2 linked regions of the Struthio camelus genome follow. The protein of the gene in region 2 purifies or fractionates together with the protein of the main gene of each other region. This does not show direct contact. Links are inferred from orthologs where the notes say so. Each region holds a gene or a part of one and is shown on either strand. Other genes may lie near its edges.

Evidence for each region.
Region 1: the proteins of ARPC5L (region 2) and ARPC3 purify together in Homo sapiens (affinity purification with mass spectrometry; 7 studies listed by BioGRID and IntAct, counting the BioPlex papers as one, with this or other methods). This does not show direct contact. The link is inferred for Struthio camelus from reciprocal best matches to the Homo sapiens genes ARPC5L and ARPC3.

The regions. Positions count from the first base shown.
Region 1 is NC_090958.1:17,138,415-17,153,567, reverse strand, and holds ARPC3 (actin-related protein 2/3 complex subunit 3), read right to left. Parts: upstream 6,579-15,153; 5' UTR 6,330-6,578; coding exon 6,033-6,329; intron 4,748-6,032; coding exon 4,648-4,747; intron 3,405-4,647; coding exon 3,328-3,404; intron 3,044-3,327; coding exon 2,975-3,043; intron 2,689-2,974; coding exon 2,562-2,688; intron 1,968-2,561; coding exon 1,873-1,967; intron 1,083-1,872; coding exon 1,020-1,082; 3' UTR 563-1,019; downstream 1-562. Other genes in the region: GPN3 (GPN-loop GTPase 3), read right to left, coding at 8,770-8,832, 9,338-9,466, 9,874-9,970, 10,302-10,417, 11,177-11,301, 11,766-11,933, 12,474-12,582, 12,663-12,710; DENR (density-regulated protein), read left to right, coding at 14,324-14,429. UniProt on the Homo sapiens protein: Component of the Arp2/3 complex, a multiprotein complex that mediates actin polymerization upon stimulation by nucleation-promoting factor (NPF).
Region 2 is NC_090961.1:1,255,631-1,270,630, forward strand, and holds ARPC5L (actin-related protein 2/3 complex subunit 5-like protein), read left to right. Parts: upstream 1-3,805; 5' UTR 3,806-3,857; coding exon 3,858-3,983; coding exon of another isoform or gene 3,984-4,003; intron 4,004-5,625; coding exon 5,626-5,787; intron 5,788-6,606; coding exon 6,607-6,783; intron 6,784-9,397; coding exon 9,398-9,460; 3' UTR 9,461-9,959; downstream 9,960-15,000. Other genes in the region: PPP6C (serine/threonine-protein phosphatase 6 catalytic subunit), read left to right, coding at 1-11, 1,361-1,440, 1,588-1,797, 2,845-3,093; GOLGA1 (golgin subfamily A member 1), read right to left, coding at 13,338-13,418, 14,290-14,376. UniProt on the Homo sapiens protein: May function as component of the Arp2/3 complex which is involved in regulation of actin polymerization and together with an activating nucleation-promoting factor (NPF) mediates the formation of branched actin networks.

The sequences.
Region 1 (15,153 bases), on a different chromosome or scaffold from region 2:
TTTTGGTTTTCTAAGAACATGCTGTTACAGCTGTCTGGGGAAAGAGCATAGCTCTCAAAAGACAAATGGGCCAGGCAGCAAAACATTACTACTCCTGGACTTCATCTGGAGTAACACAAAACAAGTGTGTTAGTACTCTGTGGAGAAAGTGAAACAAGTGTTACCGTGAAGGAAAGTAACAACTCAGGAGAATACACTGAACTCAGATTCACTCAGATTTTTCAGTCAACTGAGTGATCAAAACAAACAAACTCAGAGTTTTTGCCAGGATCGTGCTATGGTCGTATTTGACTGAACCTGCCATCACAAAGGCAGCCTTGGACTAAGTTGTATGTAATCTGTTTACCATACCCTTTGAAGGAGTTTTTCTACAATAGAGTGGTGTTCTGCAAAGGAAGACCTGTTAAAGAACCATGTGCTGCAGACTACAGCCCTGGTATGAATCCTGGTTTCAACAGGAATGATTCACTTCCTGTTGTTTACTTTCCCATTATGCAGTAATGAAGGCCTTTTCACAAAGACAAAACTTTGATTTCTTTGAAGACATAAAGCAGTTACCACAATAATTACAAGCTAGGTTTATTGAGAAAAAAAAAAGGTAAAAAACACTGCACTTAACAACATAGCACAAGAGGAATGTTTTCCAGGGACAGGTGATAGCAAAACTCTAGCCAGTAGAGCAATTATATAGCCCCCTACACATCTCCTCTCTTTAGACAGAAGGCCTGTTTTTAAATGCTAGCTGTAGCCACTGATAATAAAGCAGCCTGCATCTCAAACAGCATGTTAGAAATCATTTATTAAGCACCAGCTTAATAATACTTGTTTACAGTACTCAAATGATGTTTTCTCTCTCTCTCTCTCTCTCTCTCTCTCTCTCTCTCTCTTTTGCGCATGGATTTTTTTTTCCTCCTTCATTAAGCACTTAATTCTTCCATGGTACAAAATGTATCCGAAATAAAGGCAAAATACTTTATACACCTTGTGGAAATGCTTAACTTTGTTGCTGCTTTGCTTCTTCACTGCCCTGGACCTGACAGACTCTTGTTCATGAACTGTCTCTTCACAAAGCAGATCCACCACTAGAAAAGGAAGTACAAAATCAAAAGACATGCAACGGTAGCTTCCTTGAGATAAACAAAATGAGAGCTTCCAAGTGTTCAACTTCTGACAAATGGCAAATGTTAAGGATCCAGTTTTGCACATGCAGTTTTCCGCGCTGGTTTCTACTGCAATTTCAGGTCATAATAAGGATTTATAATACAGGGCTGCAGACATCAAAGTGGGACATTCAACTTTCTACTATTTGTTCCAATGTAAGAATGAACAGAAGGGGTGCATCAGCAAGCTATCCTTTTGAAATGAAGTTAGCCTGACTAATTTTAACGTTAAATGCAGTCACATTTACACATGAAACATATGCACAGACAGCAGGTAATTTATGCATTGATTGTCTCTTTTTTTAATCTGGATATGAAGCAGACAGGTATACTTCAAAGAAGTCATCAAATCAGAACCCACTGGAAAGATGAGCAGTATCTTTCATGCCTGAGAATTTCTGTCTAAAAACTTAAAGAATCCTCAGCCAATAACTGGCAGGCAATATTTTAAACAATTTAACCAGACACACTTACTACCTCCCTGCTTTTTGAAATAACCTAAAATGGCATTTGCTGTTTTTGCACGTTACAAATTAAATTTACTACTAAATTGCAGTCTGCTATTTCACTAGCCTTGTAAAACCAGAGAAGCTTGCTGCAAAGTTACTCGCATGTCACCCCATCACCCCACCGTCCTACTTCTCCCCACACGTTTCTGGAAGGACAAACCAAGTCTCTCATTAATTCTGTGACTATCACGCTGAACTCTCACCTTACTAGGCTTGTCACTTTGAGGATCAAATACTTTTTCGCAGAGCCGAAGGCCTGTTTCTTGTCTCAGCTGCTGCAAGTAGGCCCTCATCACCTCTGAAACACAGCACAAGCAAAAAATAGGGTGTAAACCGAGGCAGCAGCAAGTCAAATTGAATTTAACGGGGAAGCATTAGATACTACTGCTTAAAGCAGAAAGTGCAACTTTGCCCATCTGCAGACACTCACAGGCTGCCTTGAGTCTGTTTATTCAATTTACAGCCATACTTGGGATTGTTATGATATCTGTATCAGTAAAGATGGTCATCTTTACTAAGGATGAATTTCCTTTTTCAGATACCTTTGCTTATTGTTGTGGGCTTCCTATTGTTCTGCCAGCACAGCAGTTGGCTTGGGCTCAGTTACAGGATTTAGCTAGCAATTACGTTGATGTAAGAGGCAGACTCACTCCCCATTACTTGGTTCTGTTGGATCTATAGATCCAGGGGAGTCACTGGGCCCCTGAGGTCAGAAAATCTGGGTTATGGTGCACTCAAAGACAGAACTACGGATCTAGAAGATGCAGTTGTATGGAAGATGCAGTTTGTCTGCAGTATGTCTAGAAGATGCAGTTTCTAGTCATAGCCACAAAGATGCAGCTGGTAAACACCAGGCCAAAGCAAGCCTTCAGAGGTCTTTTTTTATTCTTACCTTCCTCCTGCTTGTTGGCAGGTTTGGCATAGATGGCATTAAGTGGAAAGCCAGGCTCCCCAGGGATTGGGAAGTTAGTGATTCCTAACGTGTACATTTCTTTCTCTCCTTGGCCTTTGGAGTTACACTGGAAGAACCAGGCAAATGATTAAAAGATATAAACAAAAGCTTTTGGAGCATTAGACCCAAATATTTGAATCAATCTGTAACATATAAGGATTAATCAAGGATCGCAATGTCCCATCTTTTTTGGCAGTCCTCAGCCTTGGAATATCGGTGGATCTGACAACTGGGACTGAGGTGAACAGTATTATTTATGCCACTAGGGGGAGAACATCAGCAAACGTTCTCCTAAGTGCAATCTCCAGAACAGATTCAGTTTCCCTCCTTCACTCAAAGAGCTGTTCTCTTACCTTCTGCAGCTTTTTCAAGCACTCAGAAATGTACAGAGTTATGTAGATCAATGTTCTGTCAGCCTCATTCTGCAAAGCAAAAGTAAGCACGGTCCTCAAGCACTGTTAGAGTAAGGCAGACTTTATGGAGCTGATAAAAGTTTACAATAGGAATGAGTTCAAGCCATTTTTGGCCTACAGTTTCCTCACAAGAGGGGAATTAGCAATTCAAGACATTTACCCAACTTGAAAAATTAAGTGAGAGGAAGAGGTGTTTTTGTTAACTGGTAGAACTATTGTATTGCGAATAAATTTATATGCACAGGACCAAATCTCCAAAGAGTTTCTGAATGTACAGTATCTCCAAAAATTACCTTAATTTCATAATTTTTGAAGAAAACATTGGCTTTGAAGTAGTAGATGGCTTCATCTATAATATCTGTGTCCTTAGCTAACAGAAACAAGAAACGGAGAGTTAAGCAGTGGACCAGCATACTACATTCAGTCATAGCTTTCATTCACTAAAGTACATAAACAAGGATTCTTGCAAAGACAATATCTTGCTATTAACAAAAAGCAGAAAACACCAGTATGCTCTAACCATTGCAGTGTGGAAGACTGGCGAATTCGGACCTTAATATTTACGCTTCCTACTTTTAGCAGGAGTTTTAATTCCCTTCTCCTCCTTCCCCCCATGGCTTCTCACTTTACAAAGGGCAACAATTCAGCAATTCCACACTGTTTCCTACTACCAGTCGAGTAATTTAACAGCATAAAAGTCTTCTGAGGGCAGACAAATATTTTTGGAGAAAGTACACCCCCACAACCAAACTTCTTCATTATCCTCTTTGAAAAAAGCAGGGGACAATATATAGTCACACAAGCTCATATGCACTTTTCACCTTCTTTTGCTAAAACATAAGACTGCCTACATCCAGAAATGTTTCCCTTTTCAAACTGAAACACCACCCTACTGTGAGATGTGCCTGGGAAGTGCTACTTGAAGTGCTGAAGCGGAATCCATTTCAGACTACCTGTAAAACTCTTCAGTGGACTCCGGATGCTCGGAACTTAAGTTTCAACTTATGAAGTTGCGTACCCTAAAGCGCTCTCTATCTTACTCCTCATCCTTCAGCGCAGCAGTGACTCTCAAGCCTCAGTCCCCAAAGTGCTAGTTCTCTTTAGCTCAACCTCTACTTCCTCTTATGTCAGAAGGTTCACATCAGTTACAAGTCCTCCTCAAAGCCTACTGAAAACCACAGTAAAACTTGATTGTAGAGCACCCGAGAAGGAAGCATGAAAATAGTAACTGTACTTTTTTTTTTTTTTTTATTTCTAAAGTAAGAGAATTTGGGAGTAGGGGGCACAGTTTTCCCAGATAACTGCTGTATGGTAATTATTTTTCCTGGTTTGCAGCACTTAACCATTTAAGAGCGTTTTTCCTCCTCTACCAACTGAAAAGCACTCCATTTCTAAACCATGGCTTCTCTCTTCACTCTGAGAATCAAGATCTAAAACGCCTGGTTAAGTCTTGGCCATAATTTTCTCAATCCCATCTGCCCGGGGACATTGATAAAAAGCATGTACTTGAGACACCCACTATACCAGAGCAATGCTAGAGCTGGCTATGAACAAACTGTGACATGATTACAAGCAATATGAAAACAAATGTTCAGAGATTACTGTAAACTTACTTTCCCGAGGTGCTGGGCCTTTGAACTGGCTTCTGATGGGTAACAGTGCCATGTTCCCAATTAACTTGGTATCAGAGTCCATTAAAGTTGAATGGTAAGCCTATGGACAGAGCGGAAGGCTAGTTATGAATGTTACTGAAAATAGGCATTTCAATGTCCTCGTGGCAACATAAGCGGTTCTGAAGTGTCTCCTGGGTGTCCATCAAATAGGATTCAGAGTTTAGTTAGTGATGCTTCTAGCAATCTTACCTTGCACAAACGATTGCTGTTTTCACATTAGGCCTAGCTCTCAACAACATTGTGAAGGCCATAAAAGAATCATCACAGACACCGTTTATGGTAGCAGTGGTGGAAGATATGATAAAAAACTGGTATGGTAGATCTATATGCATTTGCTTCACCTTCAGGCTCTCTAAGCCCCCTTGGCACAGCTCTGAGGTGGTAACAGCCCTGTTCTCCTGCCTTAGTTATGGGGCTTACCATTATAGAAGTGTATGAGGGAAAATTAATTTTTTTTCTAATTACTTGGTCCTTTAAAAAAAGGTTATATTTTATTCCATGTCTAGCTAATAATAGTAGATAGGAATAAACAAATCCAGACTTATTGTATATCCACAAAGTACCAAAACAGACCGGCTCATGCACTTTAAAACTGGTATTTGTCAGTGAAAGAACAGAACAAAACAAAGAAGACCCTTGTGTGAATGACAAGATTATTCCTGGGAAACAGATTTTTAAAAAATAACAAGTTTAATTGAAGGCGCCTTCCAGACATTTACACAGTGCAGTTCCAGGGCACTAGAAAGCCTTCATCTCATCGCAGCAGTCATTTTGCAGGGGGTCTGGGAAGCAGGGAAGTGCAATTGAGGGGCAGCAACAGGGTAGGCAGCACCTAACAGGAAAGCAGTTTATTTCAACATGAGGAAGATGGTATGAACTAAACCATAGCAAAGCACAGCTTTAATGCCATCTTCCTCAGTGGAGCTAGCTGGGAGTGCCCAGAGGTGTAGCTGGGAGGGACTGCCACCCTCCTTACTGCAGAAACACAGCTAGCTGCACCCAGAGACGCAGGCAGGATCCTTCACAGGAGGAAGAGGAAGAGGAGCATACTAGCCTCGCAGCAGCCTCCCATAAACTGCAACTGCCCTTTCCCAGCGAGGCTCCCGGCAGCTATAGCCCATCTCTCCTGAACGCAGCTGCCCATAGTCACACCCCAACAGCAAAGCCTGTTTCCCCCTACCCCAGCCCTGTGACCCCCAGCAGTGGGCAGCATCCGCCCTCTCAGGCCTGCCCGCTCTCCCCCAAGCCCTCCTGCCCTCTCTCCCAGCAGCTGGGGCAGGCCAAGCACACAGCACTCCGGTGTGAGTGCAGCGGATCCCCCTCACCGGCATCTCGAAGGGCAGGATGCAATTTGGCAGGGCCGGGCAGGAGGGGAGCACTGAGAAGCTTGCAGGAAACCTTCCTCTTCTGCCTGCGCTGCAGGAAATGAGGCAGCGGAGGCGGTGCAAGGAAGGGAAGCCAGAGCGGAGGCCTGCAACTCGCACCGCCCAGAGAGTTTCTGCACCGCTCGCTGCAGAAACACAGACAGGCAGGAGAATATGCTTTGAAATCACACCCTGTTGGGGGATTTGTTTGCTCTTGCCCTCTGGAGTCATGTTTCTCCCCTCCCTCTCCCTTTGCATTGGCTGGCGCTGCAAGTAAAGCCCTCTCAATCCCTCTGTGCTGTCTTCTTTCAAGCAGCTGTGAGATCACGCTTCCTTGCTGACAGAGGCAAGCTTCTTTCCCCAGCGAGGATCAGAGCGTGACAAGAGCACAGAGAGCGCGGTGCACCAGATTGGGGCCCTTTGCTTGCAGCCAGTTCTCCGTTGAGTGTTTGATGTGCAGCACTCCTGTGCATCTCTTGCTGTGACCTGACTTGCAAAGTGTAGCCTGCCAGACTGGTCTGTGAGCACTTGCTGTTGCACTGGGTATAAGGAAGCAAACAATTGGGGCTACTGTGTTGGGTGGGCAGTCTGGAAGGATATACTGTTTTCAGAGCCTCACTGAACTCTCCACTCCTCTGTTAAAATCCTAACCATAACCTCCCCTGTGACCCAGGGACCCTCATTTGTCCCCAGGCAAATGACTGAGCATAACATCATTGCATGAGTCAGGGAGAAAAAACGGGGAGATGCGGAAACTGAGTCAAAGTAATCCAACTGTAGGAGTTAGGTTTCTCCTTCAACGCTCCACAAGCATGACTCATCCCAAGGATCACAGAATCACAAAATCGTTTAGGTTGGAAGGGACCTCTGGAGATCATCTAGTCCAACCCCCCTGCTCAAGCAGGGACCTCTAGAGCATATTGCCCAGGATCACGTCCAGACGGGTTTTGAATATCTCCAGGGAAGGAGACTCCACTACCTCTCTGGGCAACCTGTTCCAATGCTCTGTCACCCTCCCAGTGAAGAAGTTTTTTCTCAGGTTCAGATGGAACTTCCTGTGGTTCAGTTTCTGCCCGTTGCCTCTTGTCCTGTTGCTGGGCACCACGGAGAAGAGACTGGCCTCGTCCTCTTGACACTCCCCCTTCAGATACTTATACACGTTGATCAGATCGCCTCTCAGTCTTCTCTTCTCCAGGCTGAACAGGCCCAGCTCTCGCAGTCTTTCTTCATAGGTGAGCTGCTCCAGTCCCCTAATCATCTTGGTAGCCCTCCCCGGGCTTGCCATCCCCGAGGATGTGCAAGCTTGGAAGTTAGCTAAGCCGCCAAAGCTTCCCCAGTATTTGCATGGTTTAGTTCAGCCAGTACAACTCAAAACTGTCCATGTCTGCATTCAGGTTTGCACTGGCAAACTTGCATCAGTCACTGGCTATCTGTTGCTGAATGCAAGGCATAGATCAGGCATAAAGCACCCAGTGATGTGATTAGCTACAGGCAGGCATAAAAAGACTCCCCACATAATGAAGTTAACCTCCACAATAATTATTTATATACATACATATACTCCGGGGTTTTGCGTCATGCTTTTAAGCCTTGAAGAGCTAAATTTTTCAGCTCTTTCTGGTGACCGTGATAACTCTCACAAAACTGAGGTCTCAGCTCTCATAATTGTCTGGCTCTGGGAGGCAAGGTTTTAAGAATGCTGAATATTATGAGATTTGTTCTAGAATTCATAAAACTGGCAAGGCTGAGCACACAAATACCCATGGGGGGGGGTGCACATGCAGGACTGAGGTACCTTTGCATTTGATCAGATGGCATGGGACGACAGCTCTTAGGATTATTTTTACTTGTACTTAGTTACTTCAGTAAATATGTTCTTCCAAGATAAAGTGCTTAAATGTTGCTTCTCTGTGAAACCAACGCACATTCTACTATATAGGTCATAGTAGGTGTACAAGTTCTCTATTCAGAGCTAAAAAAGCAGCTACTTACCTTATTAGTTACTGAATTCTTCATTCAGTAACACACTTTCTGCAGCAACTGTACAAGAACAGCACTGATTTCTATTTAAGCTGATTTTATTTATTTTAAATGTTTCACTGTTTAAGATGTTATCAATGTAAAAACCGCTTAAAGCCACATGCGAGTTGTACAAAAACAGCCTAAAAAAGGAGGCTTAAAATATGGGCTCCACCAAAGTGAACGTAAAATACTCATCTTCTTCAAGAAGGTCAAGAGTCCAGCTACTGATCAGTTTTCCTTTTGTAGCTGCCAGTTATCTCTTTCCCCACCGCAGATTCAGTTAATGAAGTACATTACTCACCCTTTAAAACAAGTTTTTCGCTCATCTAATAATAGAACAAACTACCCCGTACTAGAGATAAATATTTATTGTAAATTATTTGTATTTGACTGTGCCTCTTCTGCAAATGACTGACTTTTCCCAAACGTTCCTATACTTAAATGAGACAACTATATGTGGGGAACTTGCATACAGCAGCAGTAATACATACGTACATATTTTATAGCACACAGACATAAGAATGAAATTATTTATTAAAATAATTATGAGGTCATACAGGATCACTTTTCATTAGAAATTTTAGTTATCTTACAGATAAAAAACAAACTACACAAACATGATACTTTAAATATTTAACAACCACGATATTTCCCCTTGTTTTTGAATGTATGTGCTTTACTCATCCACATGATCTTGAAAATATTCATCAACAAGAGCAGATTTATCTTCTTCATATTCCTGCCAGAGAGAAAACAAAAAAAGTAAAACTTAACTGTTTCCCCCCAAGGAGCTGTAATAATTTATCTGTCCTCTGGCATTTTAGTTATAAAAAAAAAAAAAAGGAAAATGTCTAATATGATTCCATAAAACGAGTGGCAAAACTTTCTGGAAAGCAATCTGTTTCTAGAGCTATCCAAACTGTATGGGTCAAAATCTAGACCCAGGGATTTTGCATATTCCACAAGTACAAAACTGAACTGAAAATAAATAAATAAATAAAGTATTGAATTTGTTCCTTAGGATTTATGATCTGAATAATCAAACTAGATAGGGCCTGGAACTCGTTTTAAGACACGAGTCATGGTGTCATTGTATTGTACATGACATAACTTATTCCTAATCTATAGTTTACATACAACACACAGGCTCTATACATTTTTTAAACAAGTCAAAATACATTTATATTATGACTTGTATTATGGAAGCTTTTAAGTTTTTCATCGTATCATCAGAAGGACCTTACCTTTGGTTCTTTAAATTCAAGATCTTCTCCATACTGAATGGTAAAGTCTATGTGCTGCAGAACTATGTTCATACTTTCCTCGTCAGAGCGATCAAACGGTAAAAATCGAACCATACCATAGTCATCAATCTAGAGAAAACGTTTAAAAGACATTAGTAAGAGCGTGCAGCAAGTTAGTTCTTTTACACTCATAGCACTCTAAGCTACTTCTTTAAACCAAACTACATCTTCCTTGCCTGGACTCCCAACATACTATTTAAAACCACACTGCAAACCAGAGGCAATTCCCCAATGAAAACATCTGCCCGTCAGTCCTAAGTCCTATACATTAGATAATCCTGTTCTCCAAAGTTGCTAATCTTGTAAAGCCTGGTGCTGTTATCAAGTCTGTTATGTAAATATACAGTTTTAGGGAATTTTTTTTATAGTATACAGAATATCTATAACAGCAAAGAAGGCAGTAGCCATATAGTGTTGTTTATAAATACAGGACTGAATTTAAGAATATCAGTTAGAACGAAAAGCAATACACCTACCAAACCACATATAGATTTAGTCAGTTTCTTAAACATTTTGCTTTTTAATATATTTGTAGAGTCTTCAATCATGGAATACATATCTGGATCTAAGTACCTGGGAGAAAAAAAAAAAGTCTTCATTGACATCAAAAGAATCCTTTGCTAAAGAACAAGTAAGTCATTGTGCTTTTAGATAATGATTTAACAGAAAATAATTATTTAGAGAAAAAGATAAATATGTATATGCATAGAGCTAGCCTTTTGACTCTGTGACTAAGTTGTAAGCATCCTATCCTAGACATGTAAAGACTGTGTTCAATATAAAACAACTGCATCTTTTCCCATTCCAAAAGAGTAGATTTTAATTGTGGGAAACAGTAGACTGAATTTTGAGCGACGTTTATCACCAGATGTTAGGCTATACAACAAATATTTGGGGAACTTACTTCTCTATTTCCTTCTTAGCTTTCTTGCTCAGCAAATCCATTTTGGTCATGATGTTGATCTGTGGAATCTCTAAAGATATCATTGCACTCAGTGCTGCCAGAATTCCAGAGATAAACTTAAAGGAATATGAAAAATGACATACTTAAGTACAGACAAACACAACACAAACATGCAGGACACGACCACAAACCAAAACTAGCTACTGAATATATGAAACATGGACACAAGGCCAAGTGAGGAGTCATTATCTCTGTTGGAAAAGGGAGAGGCTAAAGTTCCCATTTGCCATCTATTTCCAGAGTTTCAAATCTGGATCTGCCACTGGGAAGGACATCTAACAAAACTCAAAGCCCTTCTCAGGATTCTCATTGCTAGACTGGGAAAGGGGCATGCTCTCTTTCCAGATCTGAGAAAGTTTTATAGAATCACAGAACAATTTGGTTTGGAAGGCACGTTTAGACATCATCTGATCCATATCAGGGCCAACTGCAAGGTCAGATCGGGTTGCTTAGGATCTCATGCAGGTGAGTTTTGAATTAACTCCAGGAACATACATTACACAATCTCTGTGGGCCCCTGTTCCAGTCTGACCACTCTCACAGTGCAGATTTTTTTCCTCCTATCCAACTGGAATTTCCCTTCCTGCCACTTGTGTCTATTGCCTCTCATCCTTTTGCTGCGCATCTTCAAGAAGGATATGGCTCGATCTTCTTCTCCATAACGGCTCACTAGGCAGGTGACAACAGCCATCAGATCCCACCCGCCCCCAATTAGCATTCTCTTCTTCAGACTAAACAGAACTAGCTCCTTAAAATTACTCAGATTTCTTGTTCTCTACTAATATGAATTTTTACAATATATTTCAAACGGATACCTTAAAAGATTCCACCATAAATTGAGAATCAACAAGAAAAACTCCACAGACACGGAATTCCCACTGCTGAAGCTGCTCCACCAGCTGTTTCATCACTGGTAAATGTGTGTAGAGTTCAATCTGACCTAGGACAGAATATTACTATGCAGAAATGTAAAGCTAACACATAAAAAAAGCATATGTTAGTTCACAGTTATCAATTATATAAGTGTGGGCATTATTCTTCAAATGAATAAAACCTGTTACAAAAAGCATGATCTTTCTTTTCAGACAACTCTGACTGAATTTGCATGAACTTATACTGGAGGGATAGAAGAAGAAAGATTTTCTTTTCCTCCCTTGACCTCCAGTTAGCGTTAACAGTGGCTGTCGTATTCTCACAGCACATGATGCTGTCAAAAATCTGTGCAGCCATCCAAATTAACCAGGACCAAGTTCCCTCCTGAAACATCTGAAAGTGACTCTGACAGCTGTTTACAACATAAAAAACGTACAAATGATTGTGACCAGCAAAAATATATTGTAAATTTTATACTGCATATGAAATATGATATTTAAGTATGATACTAAGATACATATATTTCTTTACCTGGGCAATCAAACAATATATAGTCATCCTCCACATGACCAAGGCTTTCTTCTAGCCAGTTAAAGTTATTGGCAAAGTATTCCATACAAAACACCAAGCCGCCATTGGGACCAAACCTTAAGGAATCATCTTCCATAACATCGTCCACTTCTATTAACTCGCGGATGTCTGGAACAAGACACACAATACGTTTCTAGCACGTTTGTTTACACTAGTATGCAGAGGCCGGTTACCGTAACACGCTCAAGCCTTACAAGAACTCTTGTTTGAAACCTAGGTCTTAGAAAGCATAAGGAAGAACTGACAGACAGCTCAGATGCTGTTTACGCTCCAGAAACCTCACTCTGCTTTCCTGCGTCGAGTGTCTTCATGCTGTACTGAGGTAGGGAAGCGTGTGTTAAACTGCAGTGACAGCACAGCCTGTTATTCACTTACTACATTGCCTGGCCGTAAGCATCAACATATATATTTGACGCGTGTGCATATGTATTCATATATATACACACACACGAATTATTATAAATACATACAAAATGTTATAGTTTACGTTTAGTGTAAGGCGCACCCCGCCTCTACAGTCAGATCAGAGCTACCCCTGGGCTCGGCCCACCCCCCAGGACTCCCCCTCCGGCAGAGGGCCCCGGCCGTACCCTGCCCGCCCCCCGGGGCTCCCCCCGAGGCGCAGGGCCCCGGCCCCCCGCGGCTCACCTGCCATGACGGGGTAGCTGAAGAACTCCGCGGCCGGGTCCAGGTTGACCACCTGCACGACGCGGCCCAGCGCCTCGCAGTGCTGCACCATGGTGGAGCAGTAGGTGCTCTGCAAGGCACACGCACAGGGTCAGGGGCCGCCAGCACCGCACCGCACCGCACCGCACCGCCGCCCCAGCCCTGCCTCACCTTCCCGCTGCCCGCCGGGCCCATCACCAGCTGCGCGTAGCGAGGCATGGCGGCGGGCGGCCTCCCGGCTCCGCGCCACGGCGAAGCGGCAGCGGCTGACCGCTCCGCCGCCCCGTAGCGCTCCCCGTCACGTGCTCCTGCTTAGCGTACACCCACCCTCCATCCCCTCAGCTACGGAACGCCAGAAGGCTCAAAACACGCCCCGCCTCCCACCGCATAGCGCCAGGCTCCGCTCTCTCCGGTCGCGCTCCCGCGGTGCGCGGCTCTCGCGAGAGGCGGCGGCGCTGGGCAGGGCGCACGTGCCGCGCGCTGTGTGGCTGCCGCCGCCGCCGCCTTCGTCCCGCCGCCGCGGCCTGAGGGGCCGCCCGGGTAACGCCGCGCCGCTCGCCAGCCCCGCGCTCCCCGGCCCCTTCCTGCGGGCGGCCGCCCTGCCCCGGCACCGTCCCTCCCCTCCGACACCCGCCGCGGCGCCTCAGCGCCCTCGCTGCGCTCCGACAGCCCTCCCCCGGCGCCTCAGCACCCTCCTTGCGCCGCACTCTGAGCACCCCTCACCTCCTGTCCCCCGGCACCCTCCCTCCCTCCCGGCCCGCCGCAGCCTCTCCAGCATCTCCCTTTCCTTCAGCCCCGAGCCCCCCTGCCCTCCTCTCGCGGTGAGCCTGCCCCCACCTCTGGTATCCAGCATCCTCCGTCTCCCCGGCTCTGGCCCCTTCTCCCGCCCTGTTCCCTCGCTGCGACCCTCACCCTGTGCGGTGCCTCAGTACCCTCTCGCCTTCCCCCAGCTCCCCTCACTGTTACCCCTCATCCCCACAGCACCCTTCCTCCCCCATTTATCATCTCCCTTGGTCCCCCACCATGCTTTCTATTGCTAGCAGTGATCCTCTGCAGTCTTTCCTTGTGCTCCCCTTCCTGTGGACCCCATAACCTCTGGCAACCTGGTGTTTTCCACCAGCTCTGTGCGATGCCCAGGCACAGCTCTTACAGCATCCTGGCTCCGAGTCTTCCATACCTCCAGCCTGCTCTCATGTTCCTGGGGGCACCCTGTGCCTTGCAGCCCCCTTCATTGTTGTCTGTTGACGCTTATTTTCCGTGCTGCTTACCTGGAAACTGCATGCATGTAAAGAGTTATTGCGTGTGTTAGTGGGTTGTGCTTGGTTTGCTTTGTTAAAAATTTTTATTTATTTTTTGCCAGCATCCAAGCACCAGATTTAGATTCTTCAGATGCTGATTTAAATGACAGCTGTTCCTTGCTGATGAACTTGTACCTTCACCCCTCCAGAGCACCCACTGTTCACCTGCCATTGACTTAATGTGATACTTAACGTTTTGCTTAACCCATATTGGTGGCTCCCATGTTTTATGCACAAACATCTTTCTTCTTTTTCCATTGCATTTCCTGGTGCTTCGTTTTTTTCCTTTATGTGCTGGGTTTCCTTACTGCTTCGTATCTTTTGCAACCATCTTCTGTATGTTTTTTCATTATTTCTGGTCTCCTGTTTCTCCTTCCCTCATTATCCTGCTGTTCTTTTGTTTGCACCTTTTTTCTGTCTTTTTAGTTCTTCCAATCTCTGGGATTTTTTGTTATGTGTTGGGAAAGGAGTGAATAATTTTAAATCCAAACTTAAGCCACGATTATTTCCTTCTGTGACCTGCAGGCTTGTGAGATGGCTACAGATGTAGCTGAGCCTGTGGTCCCTGACTGCAAAGGAGATGTGAGGAGCGGTGCCAGGTCAGATGCTGACTATCCTCTTCGGGTTCTCTACTGTGGAGGCAAGTGTTGAAGGGGCAGTTGTGTGTGATTCTTATGATGTGCTGTTCGTAAGGGCAGCCTAGCAGAAAGAATGAGAGAATCGCAGATCTGCTGGTTGGTCAGCTTTTATTCAGAAGACAGTGATCACCTTGCCCTTTCTGATCTTCTTTCTAAAGTAGCTTGTGTTGTGCATCCTATCTAAAGCATTTATGGTGGAATAGATGGTTTTCCCCTTTGTCTGAAAGATGGAGATACGGTTGTCTTTCTGTGCATAAGCAGTTACATTGACAGGAGCGATGCTCAGATTATGAGCTGCTACGCAGTGATCTGTTCCTGCAGAAAGCTAGTAAAAAAAGCTAGCACAGAAAAAACCTCTGACATTAGTATGATAATAAGAAATGAAATTAGAATTAATGAAATTGTTGCAGTGTGTTTAAAATTCTACTTTGCTCATTGCTGCATTTGTATCTATGTGGCTGAATTTTAAGAAAGTAAATAATCTTGAAAGTTATGTTTTGGAAAACTATGTTATACTTTAGACTTGAATACAATTGTAGGGGTTTAGAAAAGAATCCCTGTTTTGTATGAAAGTCTTCACAAGTGGTTATGAGTGTATTCTAAAGCTGATCTCATCTTCTGGACGTTGTCTGTTCTTGTGAAAAGGAAAACAAACCAAATCATGTGGTATTTTATTAGGTATATGTTTTGCTTCCAGTAGAACTGGTATTTCTTTCTGCATCTTGT
Region 2 (15,000 bases):
TGGATTTTATGGTAAGTCTTTATCCAAATGATTTCTGAATGATGGCTAATGTAATAAACAACTACCTTATCTTTCCCCTTGGACATCTGATTTTTGAATGCAGCACTACTTGTGGCTCTCCTAGAACCAGGTGGGAAACGGGCATAGTAAAACTGGAATGTTATAATTTGTTAACGTGATCCTTGCATTCATGAAGCGGAGCATGTTTTAGTCCAGTGGTTCGCTGTTGGACTTCTTGTGCCTAAAGTCAAAACCTAATCTGACAAAGTTCTAGCTTGCTTTTTTTCCCTCCAGCACCTGTATGTTCTTGTTTGGTTTTAGTACCCTATTTGATTTTTAGAGACAGAGAAAGATAATATATTTGTACAGAAAGTGCTTTCATATCTTTTAATGAAAAGTTCCAGGAGAAATCGTAATGTTGCTGTAATTCCTTTTGGGCTTCGCTATAGCTGAGAAACAACACAATGTGTAGAGTTTGCTATGGAAGCTATTTATTGTCAGCAACAGGCATGGGGGAAAATGCCACTGACTAGAAAGAAGCAGTAGGGCGACTGTTCCAAAAACCAACACCATTAAATTGCTTGGAAAGTTTTAGTTGTGTGAGGAAATCCTGCAAAATAAACCTGATAACACCTGAGGAAATTCGGCAGAATAACTAACACCTGCCACAGGGAACATGTAGACTGTAATATGCATTTTCTGGGATAATGTGGCAACAAGAACAAATAGAAGTGTTGACAAATGGCTTAAGGCTCCAAAGAAATACTTTTCTGCCAGGGCTATACAGTCCAGAATTGCTTACATCCAGTTTATAGCTACACGAATGTGGCATTAATTTACCATTGCCAAATTACTTTTTTTTTTTTGATTTCTTTCTGGTTTTATGAGAAATGGGAATAATTTGGTCTTGTTTTGCTTTCTAACTAAGCAAAGCTACTGTAAGTCTTATTTGTAGTCAGGAAAACTAAGTAGCCCAGATAGTTTCACAATTTTTGCCTTAAATCTCCAGTGTAAAATTCTGTAATACAAACATTCAGCTGGTCTGGAATGTCCCAGCCAGCTACTTGCAGGGAGCAGAGAAAACATCATAAGTCGTGTTGTGTGAGATCCTGTTTTCGCTCCAGCACCCCCTGTATTGCTCAAGGGAGTGAAGAATGTTAGCTATCTGAGTGTGCTTCCTACTAGTGGACCTAGGTGACAATAAGACAGACAGCTTCCCGCTGAGCATTTACTGGTGCTCCTGATAATGCTTTTTATTACACACTTGACTTTTCAAGTTCTGCTGTAAGTATTTGCCTCTGTTCTTATTATTTGAATTTCTTCTGATCCATTAAGAAGAAAAAAATTCTCTATTTAACAGATGAGTGCCAAACCAAATATGGAAATGCTAATGCTTGGAGATACTGTACCAAAGTCTTTGACATGCTCACAATAGCAGCTGTAAGTGTAAACGCTATATTTAAAAAGAATCTAAGTAGATTGTCTAAATGTGACCTCTTGAATTAGCGGCCTTTAAGGGTCACGCTGGTAGAGTTCTGAGTTGGATTGAAGTGCTGTGCGTTTGACACGCGTGCCTTTTTTCTCCAGTTAATAGATGAGCAGATTCTCTGTGTGCATGGTGGCCTGTCTCCAGACATCAAGACACTCGATCAAATTCGAACCATTGAACGTAATCAAGAAATTCCGCATAAAGGAGCCTTTTGTGACCTTGTCTGGTCTGATCCGGAAGATGTAGATACTTGGGCGATTAGTCCACGGGGAGCAGGCTGGCTGTTTGGTGCAAAGGTGACAAATGAGGTAATGATGCTATTGCACGCAGCATAAAGTAATTGTAGTTATGAGATAAATTAAGACGTTTAACTACAAGTTTGGTGTTTATCCTAGTGCTTAACAGATTGAGGACTGTGTGAGATGACTAACTTTCCTGCTAAGATAGCTCTGAGTAAGCTGTGTGCTGATGAAGAAGGTGCTTTTGCTTTATTGTTGCTAATTCAAACCAACTCGAAAAAATTGAGCCGTTTGAACTTTAAAAAAACAAAACAAAACAAAACCCTGCCAGATGAGATGATACTGATCTTGCGTTTTAAAAGTAGAATGCAGTGAGTGGGGGGGGTTGGACTTGCATGATCTTTAAAGGTCCCTTCCAAACTCAACCCTTCTCTGAGACTAACTAATTTTATTAGGCTTTGTGCAGAAATACCTCCCTAGAGATTTAGGAGAAAAAACACCACTGGAACATTTTTTTCCTAAAAATTCCTGACTTAATTTTTGTTACTTTTAGCGAAACAGTAAGCAGACTTCCCTAGGCTAAAATTTGTTGACCTTCTGAGGCTTCTGAACGAGCTGCGTTAGGAAAGCCTGATTCAGGGTATTCGTTGTCCTTTGTGGTCTTACTGCAGCATGTTCAGGAAAGTGTGAACGTTGTGGACACAACGCAGGCTTAGCCATCTCATCGGCGACTGGGTGTTTTTCAGTATGTTTTGAAAAGACGGGTCCCTTCATGGCACCATTAGCTTTAATAACACATTTAGATGACAGTGATGTGGCTAGGTCAACGTGACTGGCCGCGCTTCTGTGAAAACAAGGGGCTACTTCAGTTTGGTTCCTCTCAGAGATGTTGAAGCGGGAGCCTTGAAGTATCTTCTGTGCAGCTGAAACCTGGCAGGATTCTGGCAGAAAGCTTTTGGGGCAGGTTTGGGAGCAAACCTGTTGACCAGCTGCGATACGGGGTCTCGGGAGGGTGTTCTAAATGGGGAAGGCTGTTGTGTGGGTGATGATGTGCAGCTCTTCACAGAGAATATTTACACGCCTTTTTTTTTTTTTTCCCCCTCCTTTAAATTACAGTTTGTTCATATCAACAACTTAAAACTCATCTGCAGAGCACATCAGCTAGTGCACGAAGGCTATAAATTCATGTTTGATGAGAAATTGGTAACGGTATGGTCTGCACCAAATTACTGCTACCGTTGTGGAAATATTGCGTCAATCATGGTCTTTAAAGATGTAAATACAAGAGAACCAAAGCTATTCCGTGCAGTTCCAGATTCAGAACGTGTAATTCCTCCTAGAACAACTACACCCTATTTCCTTTGAGACCTTCCCCAGCCTGCCATTTCCCTGCTCCCTTGTAACTATCCCTTTACAATATACTTTTTATTGAGCACTTTGCTGCTGAAATGCTGCCTCTTGCCTTTTTTTATGTTTAAATTATCTAAATTTATTGTGTATTATGGTGTCTGTAGCAAGTTCCTTTTTCCTACCCTAGATTCATTTCAGAATATTTGTAATATGTCCTTGACATTTATACTACTGCATGTAGTTCTTACGTACTTCTGGGTTTAGATGAAACGTTTTCCTTTTAAAATCATAATACATTGGAACCAGGTCAGTCCTGTTGCATTACTCAGCTTTTTGTTTCGTAAGTTTTAAGAAATTTCAGCAGCAAAGTTACTATCCAGTGTGCACGATGGGGCTGCAAACGCGTTGTGTTGTGTGCACGTCCGAGACGTAGAACTGAATCGTCCTTGCTATATCTTGTTTTAAGTGGATACAAAATAAAGTGGTCGAAAGGGCTGCCCCCCACCCCCCCTTTTTTTTTTTTTTAAGACTTCGGTTAAAAATACACCAAGATCTGCTACAGCGATGGAATTTGTACATTAAAATAATTGTTCTGATTTTTTTCAGATACCTTGTATTTTTAATAAAGTCGTATCTTAAATGAAATCCACCTCTAGGTTAAATAGTGCCGATACAAGCCCCGCGTTGTGGCCGAGAGGGGGCGGCGGGCGGGCCCGGGCCGCGGTTCCGGTTCCGGCGGGAGCGGGTTGGGGTTCCGGTTCCGGTTCCGGCGGGGCGGCATGGCGCGCAGCACGCTCTCGTCCCGCTTCCGCCGCCTCGACATCGACGCCTACGACGAGAACCGCTTCGTGGAGGAGCCCGAGGAGGCGGCGGCGGCGGCGGCCGAGCCCGACGCGGGCCCCGAGGTGGAGGCGCTGCTGCGGCAATATCCTTGCGGGGCCCCGAGCGGGCGGCGGCCCTGGCCGGCGGGGCGGGGCAGAGCAGAGCGGGCTGCCCCGGTGCAGGCGGGTGCCCCGGGCCGGGCGGCTGCCCCCGCTGCAGGCGGGCTGCCCCGGTGCAGGCGGGTGCCCCCGGTGCAGGCGGGCTGCCCCCGCTGCAGGCAAGTGCCCCAGTCCAGGCAGGTGCCCCCAGTGCAAGTGGGTGCCCCCGGTCCAGGTGGGGCACCCCCGGTGCAGGCAGGCACCCTGGTGCAGGTGGGGGGGTGTCCCCCGGTGCAGGTAGGTGCCCCAGTCCAGGCAGGTGCCCCCGGTGCAAGTGGGTGCCCCCGGTCCAGGTGGGGCACCCCCGGTGCAGGCAGGTACCCCGGTGCAGGTGGGGGGGTGTCCCCCGCTGCAGGCAAGTGCCCCAGTCCAGGCAGGTGCCCCCAGTGCAAGTGGGTGCCCCCGGTCCAGGTGGGGCACCCCCGGTGCAGGCAGGCACCCTGGTGCAGGTGGGGGGGTGCCCCCCGGTGCAGGTAGGTGCCCCAGTCCAGGCAGGTGCCCCCAGTGCAAGTGGGTGCCCCCGGTCCAGGTAGGTGGCCTGGTGCAGGCGGGGGGCGCCCCCGGTGCAGGTAGGTGCCCCAGTCCAGGCAGGCACCCCCAGTGCAAGTGGGTGCCCCCGGTCCAGGTGGGGCACCCCCGGTGCTTGCAGGCACCCTGGTGCAGGTGGGGGGGTGCCCCCCGGTGCAGGTAGGTGCCCCAGTCCAGGCAGGTGCCCCCAGTGCAAGTGGGTGCCCCCGGTCCAGGTAGGTGGCCTGGTGCAGGCGGGGGGTGCCCCCGGTGCAGGTAGGTGCCCCAGTCCAGGCAGGCACCCCCAGTGCAAGTGGGTGCCCCCGGTCCAGGTGGGGCACCCCCGGTGCTTGCAGGCACCCTGGTGCAGGTGGGGGGGTGCCCCCCGGTGCAGGGAGGTGCCCCAGTCCAGGCAGGTGCCCCCAGTGCAAGTGCGTGCCCCCAGTCCAGGTGGGGCACCCCCGGTGCAGGCAGGTACCCCCGGTCCAGGTGGGGGGGTGCCCCCGGTCCAGGCAGGCACCTCCAGTGCAAGTGGGTGCCCCCGGTCCAGGTGGGGCACCCCCGGTGCTTGCAGGCACCCTGGTGCAGGTGGGGGGGGTGCCCCCCGGTGCAGGTAGGTGCCCCAGTCCAGGCAGGTGCCCCCAGTGCAAGTGGGCGCCCCCGGTCCAGGTGGGGCACCCCCGGTCCAGGTGGGGCACCCCCGGTGCAGGCAGGGCCCCCTGGTGCAGGTGGGTGCCCCAGTCCAGGCAGGCGCCCCCAGTGTAAGCGGGTGCTCCCGGTGCAGGTGGGGCACCCGTGGTGCAGGCAGGCGCCCCTGGTGCAGGCGGGGTTCCCGGCGAGGGCGAGCCGGAGCTCCCGAGGAGCTGCGCCTTGCCCGCGCCGCCCCGCTGCACCCCGGTAACAAAGTATTTGCGGCAGGGCTTATCGCGCGACTTAGCTGTAGCTGCGGACTGCTTCCCTGTGCTCTTGGTCTCCTTCTGTGGCACATCGGGCTGTTACCTGGTGTCCAGAAATCGTTCTTATAAAACACATCATTTATCATCTGTTATGGTATTCAAAGTTTGTATACAAGATTGTCGGTTGGGTTGGAGTGAGTTATGATGGTGCCAATAACCGACCGGCTCGAGTCCTTGACTTGCTGTGCTGCACAGGCGATACGCTCCGAGCTTTCCACACAGCCATAAGGAATTCTCCTGTTAACACCAAGAACCAGGCGATGAAGGTAAGCGGCACCTCTGCGCTTCCTGAAGCGGCTCTGTCACTGCCTCGCAGCAGGCACGCACCCACCCCTAGATTTCAGCAGCGGATCGTGGGGGCACTTCCAAATGGTTCAGCATTTCTCCAGAAATCTGATTAATACCTTAGTGCTGTTAATTAGTGATAGACTACAGCAATACGCTGTATTTTCTACACAGGCAATCGCTTTGTGTTCAGCTGCACCATCCATAGGCAGGCTCTTGAGCAATAATGCTGCTGCTTTTCGATGCAAATGGCCTGTTAGCTAGCCTGCGACAGCAGACTCGTAAATGAACGCAGGTCTGTGCTGCTCTTCTGCCCAGCTCTAACTGCCACAGGAGGGACACTGGAGCAGCTGATGCTTGTAAAGAAGAGGATGATGTTCTTGGGATAAACCAAAGTTTCCTTACTCAGAAAAGCAATTGATGGAGTTAGTGAGCACATACCTGAAGCAGTGTTTGCATGTGGATTTTGCAATATGCTTTTAAAACAAGGAATTTGGCCTTGCACTGTTGAATTTGTTACAGCTCAGCAGATGATTCTGCAATCCCTTTCAGTTAGCCCTTCCGAGAAAGAAGCATGAAAAAAATCCACTTTTAAAAAGATGTACCCACCCTTCTCGCTACTAAAACTTAAAGTGCAAAATGTTAACCTGCTTGGTTACAACAAATAAATAGACCAACTTTTTAATGTAGTGGTCTTCTGAGCATACTTTTGTCAAACACAGGTCTTTGATACAGTTCCAGCTTTGCTGGCTCTAATGGTTTTTTGTTTTTTTGTTTTTTTGTTTTTGTGGTCTTTGCAGGAACAGGCCCAGGGAACCATGCTTAAAGTCCTCACATCTTTTAAAAGCAGTGAAATAGAACAAGCAGTGAACTCCTTAGACAGAAATGGCATTGACTTGTTAATGAAGTACATTTATAAAGGATTTGAAAAGCCAACAGAAAATAGCAGTGCAATATTACTTCAATGGCATGAAAAGGTAAGTTTCTTCTGGTGCTGTCCGGGCTCAGGCACCTTTCAAAAGGGTCGGTGTTAGTGCTTTCACTGGAGCCCCTCTTGTGTATGATGGCAGGGGATTCATCCCAGAGAAGCACAGTGCTTGGTAATTCCTTTCATTTTTGGTCTCTTTGCACTTGAATTCATTAAGCCTTTGCCTGAATTTCAAAGCTCGCCCTCAGCCAGGAGGAGAGGTGAGACTTGTGGGAGGGTCCGGTGACCGCCGGAGGAAGCTCTGCCACCTTGTTCTGAGTGTAATGAGGGCAACGGTTTCCCACCAAGGAAAAAGAACTGGGAGTGGAGATGTGATTGTGTGAACCCTGGAGCTGGCAGTGTTTCTTTGTAGTTGAGTATTTGGTTAATGGCATGCTCGGGAAGCGTAGGTCTGGCAAGAGTTTTCCACAGTTAAGTGCCTATAGCAGCATACATGTCCCAACTTAGTAAGAGGACTGAGCAAACCTGTTTAGTTTGCACAATAAAGGCTTTTGAGATCTCTGAAGAGATTCCACTTGGATCCAGGGCAGTCCCCTCTAGTTTCTGTTGAATGACCGTTTTGAGATATGAGGGGGTGAGATGTGTTTAGCAGCTCTTGAACGTTCTCACTCTGTGTCATGGGATGAGGCGCATGAAACAACTCTTCTGTGCTGCTCTCCCCAGGTAGAAACCCGTGCGAAATGACTGACATCTTCCCCAGCTGCCTAGGTTTTAAGTGCTGCACAGGCTTTCAGTGGTCCTCTTAGAAGAAACAATCCTTAAGAACTCTGCAGTTCAGTGTACCCTCTGCATTGTAGCAGTACGGCCAGCTATTAATGGCTATGTCATTTGCAAAAATTGCTTTTTCTGAGATATGTAAAAACCGAAATTGTGTTTGCAACAGTGGCTCCAGCTATTAGCAACTGTCACTTGCTTTGCAGATTGTTTAGCAGGGGAGGAGGAGAAAATACATTATCAGGACAGCAAGGAACATGTTTCTGCTTGACTCTTCCCCACCCCCTCAATGGAGACTGTTTTCTGGTAACTGTGGGCTGGTGCTCCACAGTATATAAAATTACTCAATATTCTGCCTTGACTAGGAAAAAGTTAGTGTTTAGAGCGTGTAGGCACATGCAGAATATCTCTTCCTCATTTTGAAAGGAACAAGGCAGGTCTGAAGTAGGCTGGGCCGTGTTCTTAAATGAAAGCTTTCCTCGTGTTCTCCTTTCTGGCGTTACTGCTAAGAAATGTGACTTGCTCAGGGAGGCGTCTGCGGTTCGGCAGTAGCCTCTGTCCATCCTGGAGACGGAGTTCTGCCTGTGGAAAAGGCCCGTTTGTCATCCCTATGTAAAGCAGGTCTCATAACTCAGGCACATCATGTGCAAGCTCTGATTCTGAGTGGATGCTTTACATCCATCTATGTTCTAATGACAGCAAGGTGTCTGATACTGTTGATTGTTTTTCTCCTTTCATAAGTTGCAATAGCCACTTGGCTGCGTTTGAATTGTGCCTGCAAAGTAAACGTGCTGTTTTAAGCAGCTTCAGTATTACTCATTTTGTCATAATTAAGTCAATCTTCTAGACTTTAGAAGGATACACATTATTTACGTTGAGGGATGCAAACCAAACCGAAATGAGCCTTTCCCCATTCGGGGATATGGGAAGGGAGACAGATTCTGTATTTTCAGTAATGCATGTGACATGAGTATCTTCCACAAGAACCAAAAGATGGTTTGTTAGATTTTGGGCAGTGTACGTTTCCTTGTGGTTTTAGTGGTATATGGGTTGTTATTTTTATTTCTGCAATTGGTTGTGTCTACCCTTCAGACCCTTGGTTCTTGTGTCACTGAGTACGTTTACAGACTGTCACGATATATGCAGCGCAGTAACGCGAGTCAAAGATCACTTTCATCTGTATTTACAGAGAGGGAGCAAGGCACATGCTTTCCAAGATCGTGGGAGGAGATAGGAACAAGCAGGATCTGAATTCAGCCCTGATCTCCCCAATCAGCCTTTTTAACTGTCACGCTAAATCGTTTAGAGAACACACAACGAAGAGGAATAACTGTGTGACCGCTACCACAGGAAGTTAAAGGTGGCAGCAATGTAAAAGGCACCTGCACAGACCTGAAGAGGCGGAACAGCTTGTAAACCACGTTTCCTGTTCTGCTGGCAGCAATTAGCACAAAGAATTGCTTTGTGGTCTTGGCTAGCATAAGTTAACTGATACATACTAATGCTTTGCGTGATGGAGCAATCGTACCATGAGAACAACTGATGTCTGGCCTTGCAGGCTACTATGAGTTTTATCATGGAAACCTGACACTGCAAGATAGGGTTTAGTGCCTAAATGATACTGTTTAAAATGTCTTTAACCTCAGCATGTGCTAGAGAAAATGAATAGATTTTTCCTAAGGAACCGTTGTCAAATCTTGAATTTGACAGCAAAAAAGGGTAGAACAAGAAGAAAAGCCCAAGATGGCTATGTGTGAAAAACAAGTTTTTGGAGAAGAGACACTTACTTCTCTGTTACTAAGCACAAAACTGTTTGTTCTTCTAAGATGCCTTTTGTGTGCACTGCAGCAACTGTGTGTAACACCTATCTCCTTTTCCCCTCCCCACAGGCATTAGCAGTAGGTGGACTAGGTTCCATAGTAAGAGTTCTTACAGCAAGAAAGACTGTTTAAAAGACTATTAACTTGCACCAAGACGACGATCAGTTCTGGACCCAGAAGAAGGAACTAGCTGAAATGACACTGGTCCATCTTTACAGAGATTGCAGTCTGCTGAAATACTATGGAAACCTCTTCTTGGAATGCTTTTAACTTCAAAGGTGGGGGAAGAGTAAACATTATTCCTGTATGCTCTATCAAATACAGGAGCCAAGATATTATCCTGATCCCTTCTTCTTTAAAAGGCAGAGAAAAGGTGAACTCCTGCCCCCCCATTACTGTAAGTGAACAGGTATTTTCAGATGCTGCTTTATCAGAGCGTGGTGATACAAGATCCTGTGTGTACTGCTTATTTAAGAGGTAGCTATGTCGTTTGCAGATGCAAGATTCTGACCGCTTAAAGGTAGGAGAAGTGTTTGTTAGAAAGAGGGGATGGTCAAAGGACTAGCTGGACTGTGGGGCTGGTTTCATTGTAAAGTGCCTGCTGCATTAATAAAGTTCTTGGATCACACGAGTTAAGTAATTTATTTTTAGCGAACCTGTACGCCTGCAATTGATTCAAAAGCAGACCAGCAATATACCAGTTCTAAGCCAAGTGCCCGCCTCTGCAGAAGTGATCTTCGATATGCTTGCTCTAGGAAGCGAGATCAAGCCCAATTGTTCACTGCACTTTAGAAGCCTTGGAATATAGTACATAATTACTAATGATTTGATTTTATACTCTTGCTCATGCTAGGAAGTCAAGAAAATACTTCAAAACTTGTTAACCTATTTATATGTTAGTTTATCCTCATCTCTAAAGGACTATTTGACAGCATAGTAAGAAGCTTCCTTTGAATGAGTACGTGCAGGTGTTTTATCCTTGATTTGCCCAGACAGAACAGCACAACTACTCACATCGTCATTGTTTCCAACTCAAGTTACAGCACCTAGGTAAGAGTCTTCAGTTTCTACAGCGTCTCTCTAGGGGCTCATTTTACACTGTGCATATGGAGTCTGACAGGGTATCTGTTGGGAAAGAGACTGAGCCTCGCTTCCTTTTGTCACAAACAAGTGTGCTCCAAGTGAAGCAGCTGTTAAGGGAGGCTGTATTCCACTTGGTCTTTGTTTTTATCAGCTGCTAAAAGTGCAGCAACAGCTGTCCCTGGTGGGAGACAGCTTCAGGAGGCAGAAGCACTCTGCCTCATTCCTGGCCTAATCCCCTATGAGAAATAGGGGCCTTAATTATATGGTTGACACACCCATTCTTACCATAGACAGGGAGATGGGTTTTGTTTCATTCTTTAACATTTCTCTGCATTTTAAATAGCTATAGCATCCCCATGGAGATAAGCAGAACTATAAAGAGAAAGAAATCAAGATTAGAGTTTTAATCAAAAATGTATTGCACCACAAATTTCATAGTGTTTCATAATAGAATCCATATTTACAGCATAGAAGGAAAGAAATCCAATGGCCATAGAAACGATTATGTATACCATTGTTTTTATACAAGGTAAAAGTGCATTAGCTTTTTAATATACGTATACACACCATTCTTGCTCTGATATATAAAGAAAAATCAACACTTAACTAATTTATGGGAAGTTGATCCTGTAAGAGCTTGGGGATCTTAAATTGAAATTGTGTTAGTAAACAAATATTCTGAGATTTATGTATTTCTTCCAAGTCCCCTGCACTGCTTTCCTTACTGTTCAGCAGTAACCTTTCAAGCCAGGATCAACTTAAACCGATTAGTCATTCAGCAGGCATCAGCAAGAGTAGATGAAATTCTGTCCCTTGTTCCCGGGTCCCCTCAGATGTAGGGCAGGGCCAAGGGGATGTTACAAAGACAGACCTTAGGGAACAAAATCTGGGCCCTTCCCAGAACCCACAGGGTTCCCCTGCCCCCACTTGGTTTCAGTATAGGAGCACTTCAAACAAATCTACTTTTTGATTGTCTGTTTTCATGTTAAAGCCGAGCTGTACTCTTCCCATAAACTTCCCTATTCTATGCAATTAAGTGCTATGACTCAGTTTACTAAAGACTGTGTTTGACAAGCTTTAGTATACTGAAAAATCGTGTTGTCTCGCTTCAATTTAAATAAATGTACCCTAGCTACAAACTAAGGAGTGTCACTTTTGTCACAGTAATCGCTACCGTGAGTATCTAGGCTACTTAATTTGGTGAGGTCAGCTAGGATATAGATTTGCAGCACATTTACTACTCTGGTAACTGACCTCATGCAGAAGGCTACTTTCATCTTTACAACAGCACAAGTGTGCGCAGGGGCAGGAAGCAGCTCACGTGCTGTGACTCTCACGCTGTAGCTTACTGCCACCACCACCACCGTCATTTATAGCAAAGCTAAGCTAAAACCCTGAACAGTGACCGTATCTCCACCAGAGTACAGGTTGAATTTTCTTGAAGATATTTAATAAAAATAGTGTTAGTAACACAAACCGCATTGTAAGAGAATTGCCAGAATTGGAGCCTGTTCACTGAATGCCATACCTATGTAATTTTTTAAAAATACATCCAATTTTTTAAGAAGTCAGATGAAAATGGGAAGCAACAATCAGTCTATTTTCTGGTTAGTCATTAAGGGCAAAATTCTGCTCTCAATCCTTGAGGCAAGTCCCAGCTTGGTCCCCTTTTCCTAAGGTAGAAGTAGGCAGGCTACTTGGATTCATAAGTAAGATTCATTGACTATTTCAATTTTGCTCTCAAAAAACAAACAAACAAACAAACAAAAAAAAAAACCTCATAAGCAGCATTCCTTTTACCATGTAGTTAGGACACAGTTAACAGCCCACTAGATGCCCGTAACAGCTCTTTTAAGCGTCAGTATCTGAAGTACATAAAATCACAACCAAAGAGGCAGATACTGGTTATGAAGATCTGGTTGAACATCTGCTGCTAGCAAACTTGCACAGGGAAAAAAAAAAAAAAAAACCCAAAACAAAGTGTTCAGTACCAATATTCTTCACCCTTTGTCACTAGAGGGTTTTTTGTTTGGTTTTGGTTTTTGTTTTTTTAAAATAAAAGGTATTTTCAGTGTGCATTTACAATACCTGGAATTCAGCTTTAAAAATTTAAAATGGTTTACTATCCCCTCTTCCCCACATTAACAACCTATGGTACAGACTAGCAGATTAGTTTTAAAGGCGACTGAGTATTAGGTACTATAATTAAGACCATTTTAAATATTATTTTTCTTTAAGAAAAGTAAAATCAGACAACTCTAAAGTTGTGCTCTCAAATTAAATAAACATCATCAACATGCAGCCTTCAGGACTGCAGGCCAGGATATATGCACCTTAAATTACACAGTGATATGAAAAAATGCAAACTATTAGTTATGTCAGTATAACAAGGCAAGGCAGTTTTTTTTTTTTTCTTTTTTGGTTAAAGCTCCGGCTCCTGTTCTTCGAAAGGCTTTTCAAACTGCCAGGAATCCAACAGTACTGCCAATATTCTTTCCATTGCTTGCTTTCCACAGTGAGACAAGGAAGCTTTACTGTAGCTAGAGTTATTCAACTCTGGCATTTCATAACAGAAGTTGGAATCACCATCATAACAGATGCAAATGTTAGAAGCTTGAACTGCCAGCACCAATGTTAGTGAGGTTAACGTTACCCTTTGGTGCCAAGAAACAAGACCGATGAGCACAAGGAGCTGACTTCCATTAAGAGACCATCGAGACGACAGTCCCTGGATCCAACCCAAGAAAGATGTTTCAGTTTGTGGTGAAAATTTCTCCTTGCACAGTATTACTTTTGTAAACAGTATCAAAGTTCTTGTACAAAATACTGCAATGACAGTGATTAAGACACACCTGAATTAGTGTGTTGAGTGTTCTTTTCACAGAAAATAAGTGGCTAGATGCTGACTGCCTGTTTTCAGGTTCCCTTAAGACCATGGTGTCCTTGGGCTTGAGATAGATGGCCGGATACTGCCTTTAGGAGATGGCTTTGACCCAAACCACGACATCTGGGACGGGAAAGCACAATACACATTAGGCTAGGTTCCCACTTTTAGGAAAAAGTGAAAATTTGAAAAATAATGTAGTACACATACATCTCCCCATCATTGGATGGGGACAAATTTTTATAAAACATACAACACTGCAAAATTCAGACTAAGAAGGTTTCACACAGTCAAATCTGGAAGAAACAGCATCCTGTTTCTGTAAGTCAAGAACACTGAAGATAACATTTAGGAATATTCCTTCAAAATAATTATAAGTTACAGTCATTTAATGACAGTACCTTTTGCCAGTCTAGCATGACAAGTTCCCTGAGCGAGATGGCAAGGAATTCTTCCTCTCTTTCACTTGTGTATACCGAACACGTTTAACTTACTGAGCGGGCAGAGAGAAACGCAGAGCGTCTAAGGAACTGAAGCAGCACTCATTGATGAACGTTCACTAATAACCACCAACCCAGCGGCGTGCAGAAGATGATCTTATTTTATACAGTGGAAAGTAGAAACAGATCAAGTGCCCAAGCCCAATGTGAAATGACAAAGCCATGAATCCAGTATCCTACTCTTCAACCTTAGACTGTCATAGCAAAGAGCTTCTGGCTTCACACCTGAGTCCACTGGGCAATACTGTGCTGCTTTTCTGAAGCACTGAAAAGTTACACTACATTTACCTTACTGCACTGAAAAGTCACACTACATTTACCTTACTGAAATAGGCGATTTCCATCATGCATACATGTGATTAGTGCACGCTTGAACATGAGATGATCTTTATTATTGTTGCTAAAGTTTGGAAAAGATACTTTACATGGTCTCCCAGCATTTAATAGTTTTCATTCCTCTTACTGGGAATCTACAAGTAGAACAGAACCCTTACCTTGTATTCCAAGGTTTCTTTAAGCATATTTTCTTCCTCTTGTGAAAAATTCAGTAACACAGACACAGCTTTAATTAGATGGAATGCCTGAAAGAAACCCCAGCAGTTGGTTAGTTATGATGCCCTCAGTCTCTAAATTCTGGATTATGGTGCAGCACAGATTTTCTGTAGGTTTGGTCATAGGCTTTTTAGTTACAACTGTGAGGAGCAGAGCAGGAGTCTTCCATAAATCTCCAATTCCAATAGAAAGGGATGCTGTGCATGCTGTGTCTTCTGTTTGTGTTTACTGGCTTTCTGTTCTTTAACAGTGGTTTGCATAGGGACGATAAATTGGGCAGCCCAGTGTATTAGAACAGAGAAGAAGCCTTGCTTCTACGGCACCCCCGGCCCCCTTTTTTTAAAAGGGTCTGAAGATTTGATCAAGCCAGCATGCAGCCATTTTAAATATACACTCAAGTGTATTAACTCTTTAGTACTAGCATTTTAAATAGGACATATCATGCAGAGACACTAGAGCAGTCAAGCACTCAGGATACTGTGGAACTGCACATCTATTTCTTGATCTTACCTACTGTCTGATTTGCAATTAAGCAAAGTATACTGCTGGCATGACTTTTTTACCTGTAACTTCCTTGACACTGAATGTGGAGAACGCAAAGGAGGTCTAAATGCACAAGGAATTAGTTCTTAGATATCAACAGCAAGTAGTTT